2 linked regions of the Notamacropus eugenii genome follow. The protein of the gene in region 1 interacts with the protein of each later gene in a pairwise test. Links are inferred from orthologs where the notes say so. Each region holds a gene or a part of one and is shown on either strand. Other genes may lie near its edges.

What was found.
Region 2: the proteins of MAL2 (region 1) and TPD52 interact in a two-hybrid assay, tested with the Homo sapiens proteins (2 studies listed by BioGRID and IntAct). The link is inferred for Notamacropus eugenii from reciprocal best matches to the Homo sapiens genes MAL2 and TPD52.

What each region holds. Positions count from the first base shown.
Region 1 is NC_092875.1:126,086,377-126,090,131, forward strand, and holds the start of MAL2 (protein MAL2), read right to left. Parts: upstream 2,819-3,755; 5' UTR 2,588-2,818; coding exon 2,462-2,587; intron 1-2,461. UniProt on the Homo sapiens protein: Member of the machinery of polarized transport. Required for the indirect transcytotic route at the step of the egress of the transcytosing cargo from perinuclear endosomes in order for it to travel to the apical surface via a raft-dependent pathway.
Region 2 is NC_092875.1:303,170,840-303,174,594, forward strand, and holds the start of TPD52 (tumor protein D52), read right to left. Parts: upstream 2,563-3,755; 5' UTR 2,548-2,562; coding exon 2,295-2,547; intron 1-2,294.

The DNA of each region.
Region 1 (3,755 bases):
ACGTGGTTTGTTTTTTGTTTTTTCTTTTTCTCTTTTCAAGTAAAGGAAGGCCTGAAACTGTCTAAATGAGAAAATCAGAGAAGAATGGAGGAAAAAAAGGTCAATAATTCTAGAGAAAAGGGAAAAGTTTATGAGAGTGAACGTAAGGTCAAGGCTCCTCCTGAGGTGGGAAGGGCAAGAGGTACATACTTTTTGAAGATGAATAGGTTAACCTTTTCTCATAAACTGGAGAGCAGATGAAAAGAGGAAGACATATCTGTTTCTGTACAGGGATTAAAACCCATTTATCTTCTCATCAATAACATCTCTTTCACAGACTTGAAATATCACCATTCTGTCTTGTTCAAGCTAAAACATTCAAAACTTTTAAAAACTCTTCTATGTTTGCCTTTCGAAGCTGTTTCCCTTTCTTACAGGCCCACATCAAAATCAGTCCCATCTTCCTTTCATTAATTTTGCAAAGATTCCCAGAACCAGTCATCACTAGGTACACTTTCAGATGCTTCTGATGTGGGCTCAAATTCAAAACTGCCTCCTTCAGCCTTGCAGTATCTTATTACTCATGTCGGTAGCCTGTAGCTTAGTTAAGTCTCCATTCTCAGATTTAAATCTGAGCTAAACTTGAGTGGGGATGCGTTGGCAGTGCTGGCATAATAAGGCAGAATACCAAATGCTCCAGATTCAGCTCACATCACAAAACAGAAACTGAAGCACCCAGATCGAGGTTATGCAAACTCCAAAGAGGAGGGGTGAAGAGAAAAAGCCCAAATCAAGCAAGCCAACCAACCTGCAGAAAATAAGGTTGTATGTGGAATTCATTCCTGTATTTGTCATTCTCAGTGTATGATGCAACATAAAGTTGCCCAATTTTTATTTGCACTTTTTTTCTTTTCCGGTCTATGCTAAAGCTCTCCAACTCATAAAATCCCATTTTAAAAAAGAGAGAGAAACTCCCCACCCCAAGAAATTTGGATTACAGTCTAGGTGACAAAATATGGTCAGAAGTGACCCCACCCACACCTGCAGGAGTCATGCTCATAAATGATTGTGTGTGTTGGAGGGGAGGGAAGGTGCGGAAAACAGGCAACGCCAGAGTCACATTTTTTACCCTCCACCCAGATTTCTCACACCCACCTGGTGTGGAAGCTGCCAAAGATCCTAAACCTGGACTGGGAATCTCTCCTCACCACAAAAGAGTGTGTGTGTGTTTGTGTGTGTGTGTGGTGTGTGTGTGTGTGTGGGTGTATGTGGTGTGTGTTGTGTGTGTGTGTGTGCGTATGCGTGTGTGTATGGTGTGTGTGGTGTGTGTGTGTGTGTGTGTGTGGTGTGTGTGGTGTGTGTGGTGTGGGTGTATGTGGTGTGTGTGTGTGTGTGTTTGTGTGTATGTGTGGTGTGTGTGTGTGCGGTGTGTGTGTATGGTGTGTGGTGTGTGTGTGTGTGGTGTGTGTGGTGTGTGTGTGTGTATGGTGTGTGTGGTGTGTGTGTGTGTGGTGTGTGTGGTGTGTGGTGTGTGTGGTGTGTGTGTGTGTGTGTGTATGGGTGTGGTGTGGTGTGGTGTATGTGTGTGGTGTGGGTGTATGTGGTGTGTGTGTGGTGTGGTGTGTGTGTGTGTGGTGTGTGTGGTGTGTGTGTGTGTGTGTGTGTGTGTGTGTGGTGTGTGTGTGTGGTGTGGTGTGTGTGTGTGTGGTGTGTGTGTGTGTGTGTGTGTGTGTGTGGTGTGTGTGTGTGGTGTGGTGTGTGTGTGTGTGTGTGTGTGTGGTGGGAGGCCCACAGTAATTCATACTCCCAGTCTTCTGCCTTTCTCCTTGAACTCCCCCTTCTACCCTCTCTTTCCAATCTCTAACCGGGAGCCTGGAATTACAATCTCATGGTCACCGACTCACAAAGGTAGCTACACCTTTTCCCAGCCAACAAAATGGCAGGTTAGCAACAGGCGAGGCTGACAGAGCGTCTCTTTACCCTAGGCTCCAGCCGCCCTTCTGGCACGGCCCTTCTCTGCCAGCTCCGGCCACCCCATCTCCAGCCAAAGGGGAGCCGAGCAATCCCTTCCCCCTTCCAAGATGCCGACCCACTCCTCATTTTGAATATCTCCCTTTCTCCTATCTTAAGCAACAGACAGCGAGTACCCAAACACGGAAACCAGAAGCCAGGTTGCCAATGTAACAGGTGCCAGGGCAAGCAGGGGAGCAGGCCACGCGGGGTGGGCTCCACCAGGGTGGCAGCGGCGTGGAGTGGGGAGGGGGGAAGTTGGGAGTGGAGAAGAAAGAGGGTAAGCAAAGGAATTTGGAGGGAGAGGACGGAGAGTGAGCAGAGGAGCGGGGCAGCGGGAGTTAGAGTCCGGCATGGACAATGTTTCTTCGTTGACTCCCTGTCCTCTCGCGACCCCTGGTACCTTCACCTACCCTTCCCCTGCTCTCTTTCCTGACCCTCTTCCAGATACTTTCGCCCGCTGCCCACTTACAATCTCCAGGCAAACGAAGGCTCCGGAGTAGGTCCGGAGGATATCGAATCCCACCGGCAGGGTGACCCTGGGCGCCGGGAAAGACACAGCGGGGTTGGGTGGCATAGACGCTCCGCCGGCCGACATGCTGCTGCTGCTGCTGCTGCTGCTGCCGCTGCTGCCCCTGCTGGGTGTGCAAAGGCTGCGAGACGCCCGCCTCCACGACTGCCAGTGCTGCCACCGTTCAGGGTGGCGCAGGGATTGCTGCTCTCCGTGCGGGATCCCAGGCGCGCCGGGAAGGGAAAGCAAGGGAAGGGAGTGGGGAGACGCGGCTGAGTAGCACGGGCCCTTCCCTTCTGGCAGGCGGGGGCGGCTCGAGCCCCATCACGTGGGCCCAGGTGAGCCCCGATCCCCCTGGGCGTTCTCTTCGAGTCACGTGTGCCAGGGTTGGCCCAGGTGCCACTGTCCAGGCCCTCCCGATGCACAGCCTTCTGTTGACTGTCTCTCCTTTCCACCCGCTTTTCCCTCTCCCTGGGCCTTGGGCATTCAATGAATAACCTCTGGAGCACCAGGACTCTCATCTGCCTCCCACCGTGGTTCGAAGGGAGATCCACTAAATCGATTGCCTCTTTCTTTCGGCTTCTTCTTCCTCCCACCTCCTCCCACCTCCTTTCTCCCAACCCTTTGACCCACTTAGTTAGATGGAGAACAACAGTCTCACTACCTGTCAAGGTGACTTAGGAAGTGAAATCACAAGCTACTTCCAAAAGACTGGATTATTTTTAAGAGATGGTGGGAAGAGGTTAAGTGGATTTTCTAATTTTAACCTTTTTTTGCTGTAAAATCACATTTTCTCTCTTGTAGTAAAAGAAATTATTTTGCAGTGATAGTCATACACAGTTTCCACGTACATCCTTTGTTCTTGAAGACATTGCTTAAAAAGGATTCTTCCGCTAATTCCCCATTGTTTATGCTTTGCTGTTCATTCGTTTGAGTCCTATCCGACTTTTAGGGACCCCATTTGGAGTTTTCTTGCCAGATACTGGAGTGGTTTGCCATTTCCTTCCCCAGCTCATCTTTCACTGAGGAGGAACTGAGGCAAATAGGATCGAGTGATTTGTTCATACAGCTTGTAAGTGTCTGAGACCACATTTGAACTCAGGAAGATCAGTCTTTCTGACTGCAGGTCCAGCACTCTGTCCACTGTGCCCCTAGCTGCCCTTTTATGCTTCACGAAGTCATAACTCTTTCAAAATAATTATTTTCCCTTGTAATATTATGTGTTTACTTGTATGCATTTCAACACCTCCTTCAG
Region 2 (3,755 bases), about 180 Mb from region 1:
GTAAGGTTTATAAAGTGTGTGTGTATATGTATAAATACATATATATAATCTGTGTATGTATACATGTACATATATATGTAAGTGTGTGTGTGTGTGTGTGTGTGTGTGTGTGTGTGTGTGTGTGTGTGTGTAATTTGAACTTCATAACCCTGGGAGGGAGATTTTCTAGGTATTTTACAGTTGAGGAAAAGGATGTTTACAGAACTTAAGAAAACTGCCCATTATAGAAAAGCTTGGAAATGTCAGAGCTGGGATTGAAACACAAATCTTTTCTCACTCTATCTCAAATATCCATACCACTATATTGGGTTCTTCTCCAAAGTCATCATTAGGGATTTTGGTACTGGAGGCAAATTGGGAGAGGAAGGACAGTCTTCCCCACCAGGTGCCCTCAGAATAGTAGAGAAGCAACCTTTCCTCCAGACAATTTGGCCCTAGTCCCCATGGCATAACTAACTACCCCTCATATTCCAGAAGGAGGGGGGGAAGGCACCACACAGAAGGATACCATGGGGAAAGGTGAGCTTTAGAAAAAGGGCAGGACATTCAGGAGTAGTGAGATGCTACCAGCGTGAGCCCTCCCTTAGTACCCTAGACCAAGGCCTGATCATCCTGCCCTTAGATGTTAGTTTCTGCCATTCTTTAATAAATCTCTGGCAATGCTCTTCCACTTATATTGATACTAAGCCAAACCTGAACATTGAAATATTTGCTCCATGGTAATGGAACAGGGAAAAAGAAGGAATAAGACTACAGTACAAAATTTAACTTCACACAAATACAAATAAGCTTCTGACCTAAATGCTAAATTCTTGGATTTCTCTAAGGAGAGGTTCCCAAATATCCCCCAAGTTGTTACTGCCTTCTCTTTCCCCACCCACACACTGTTGTTCATATATAGTATATCTTTCAGTGTGATTTAAAAACAGCCTTGTAAAAAGTCTCTGTTAGATCCTTAAATCTGTGGAAATCTTGCCAGCCAAAGGCAGAGACCTTCATTCAACAACTCCCCCATCCAGAAGCTCCTCCATCTAGCATATCAAAGACGAGGACAAGCAAACGGCAGATGGGGATCTCAGTGTGGATGGGATCTGTCATCTCTGGAGATGAGCACATTGAAAATAAGAGTCTGAAAAGAAGTATGATACAATATTTTCCCCCAAAGAGGAAGTAAAGAGAAGATACTTTATAAAACTAAACCCCAAGAAAGAATTAGAATTTTTCAACTTTAAGGAACCTCGAAAGGCAGCATAATATAGACAACAGGAAACAGACCTTGGACTCAGGAAGCCTTGGGTTCAAGTTTTATATCTGACACTTGTTTGCCCACAGGCAAGTCATTTAATGCCTCAGCATCATCAGGGAACTCTCTGAGATTAAGTTGCAAATTGTTCTTCATCAATGGAGGCAGTTTTCTCACCAGGTGTTCCATACCCTGATGAAATCATAAATCTAGGACAAAAATCTGTATTCATTAATCCTATAATTTCTATTCTTTGCAACTTTACTAAGCTCAAAGCCAAGTCAAGTCAATAAGCATTTACTAAACATTTATTATGGACCAGGGAATGTGCTAAGCACTGGAGACAGAAAAAAAAAAAAGCAAAAACAGGGTCCTTTCCTTCAAAGAGCTTAGACTCTAAGATGGGGGAGACAATACGCCAACAACTGTGTATATACAAAACATAAACAGGGTAGATATCAGAGGCAAAGTATTAGCACTGAGCAGGACTGGGAAAGGGCTCTTGCCAGTAGGATTGGAGCAGAGACTTAATGGAAGCCAGGGAAGCCAGAAGAGGGAAGAGCAATACAGGCATGGAGGACAGTCAGTGAAAAGTCATGAAGTTAGGAAATGTGAGGAATAGTAAGAAAGTTGGTGCTACTGAATTATAAGGTATATGGAAGGACATGTATAAGCAGACTGTGAAAGTGAAAGGTAGGAAGGGGTCAGACTGTGAGGAGCTTTAAAATTCTTTAAAATTCTTGTTCAGTCATTTTTCAGATGTGTCCAACTCTTGGTGATCCTATTTGGGATTTTCTCGGCAAAGATACTCGTCTGGAGTGGTTTGTCATTTTTTTAGCCAGCTCATTTTATAGATGAGAACACAGAGGCAAAGTGACTTACCCTGTGTCACACAGCTAGATTTGAAAACTCACCTAGATGAATCTTCCTGACTTCAGGCCCAGCACTTCATGTACTATGCCATCTAGCTGCCCTTTATAAGCATTTTATATTTAATTGTAGAGGGAATCATTAGAGTTCACTGAGTAGAGGATGACAAGGTCAGACTTACACTTTAGAAAAATAAATTGGCAACTGAGTAGATTGAAGTGGGGAGAGACTTGAGGCAGGGAGACCAACCAGAAGGCTACTGCAATAGTCCAGGTGTGAGGAGATGAGAACTTGCACCAACATGGTGGCTCTGTGAATGGAGAGAGAGAATGGAATTCACAAGATGTGAAAGCAGAATTGACAAGATGTGGCAATGGTTCAGATGGGGGAGGGGGGGGTGAATAAGAATGAGGAGTTGAGGATAACACCTTCATTGCCTGAGTGAATGGAAGAATGGTGATGCCCCTGGGAAATCGGAATGAGGGAAGCATATGGGGAGAAAGAGCATGAGTTCAATTTTGGAGAGGTTGGATTTGAGATGATCTATGTGACACCCATTTTGAGACATCCAAAAGGCAAATGGAAATACAAGACTGGAGGTCAGGAGAAAGTTTGGGACTCTGCAAACAGATCTGAGAATCATCTGCACAGAGGTGACATTTGAATCCATGGAAGGTGACAAGATCAACAAGTGAAATAATACAGAGGGAGATCAGAAGAAGGCTCAGGATAGAGTCTTGGGGGACACCCACAATGAAGAGGAATAATCTGGATAAATAACCAGCAAAGGAGCCTGAAAAGGAACACTTAGATAGGGAAAAGGGGAACTAGGAAGGTACAGTACCAGGAAAACCTAGAGGAGATCATATCAAAAGGAAGATGACCAAAGTGTCAAAAGATCCTAAGAGCTCAAGAAGGATGGGGAGTAAGCAAAGGTCATTAGAGTTTGAAATTAAAAGATCTCTGGTAAACTTGGAGAAAGCCTTTTCAGTTAAATAATGAGGTCAGACAATAGGCTATAGAAAATTTAGTAGACAGTGAAGAGAGAACAAGGAGTTTAGGCACAAAAAAGAAGATATTGGCATCGGATGAAGTTAGGGTTTTTTGTCTTGTTTTTTTTTTTTCAGTATGAGACATGGACATACTTATAGTATCTTTACAGCAGCCAGCAGCCAGCAGAGGCAGTGATTGAAAATTAGTAGAGTAAAGATAACAGAAAGGACAATCTGTTGGAGAAGATGGGATGAAAAAGGATCAAGAAAACATGCAGAAAGGTCTGCCTTGGTAAGAAGGGTCATCCTTCATTATAGACTGAGGTAAAGGAGGAAATAGCTGAAGACATCTGAGTGATATGAGGTGAGAATGAAGAGCAGAAAAGAAGGAGTTCCTGGTGAATGGACTCTTTTTTTTTTTCAGTGAAGAATGAGCCGATGGAAAAGTTAATAATGTTCATTCTTCTCTGCTTCTCTGCTATCATTAATAGCCTATCTGTCCTCACTCTAATTTCAAGTGAAATGTAATTTTTTTTTTCCTTTCAAAGGTTCTGGAGTTCATGAATTTCTCAAGACTTCAGACTGGGGTTAGCAAACTGACCATGACTCTGGTGTTGCCCAACGGAACAAGAGCCTTAGTTGGTTCGGCA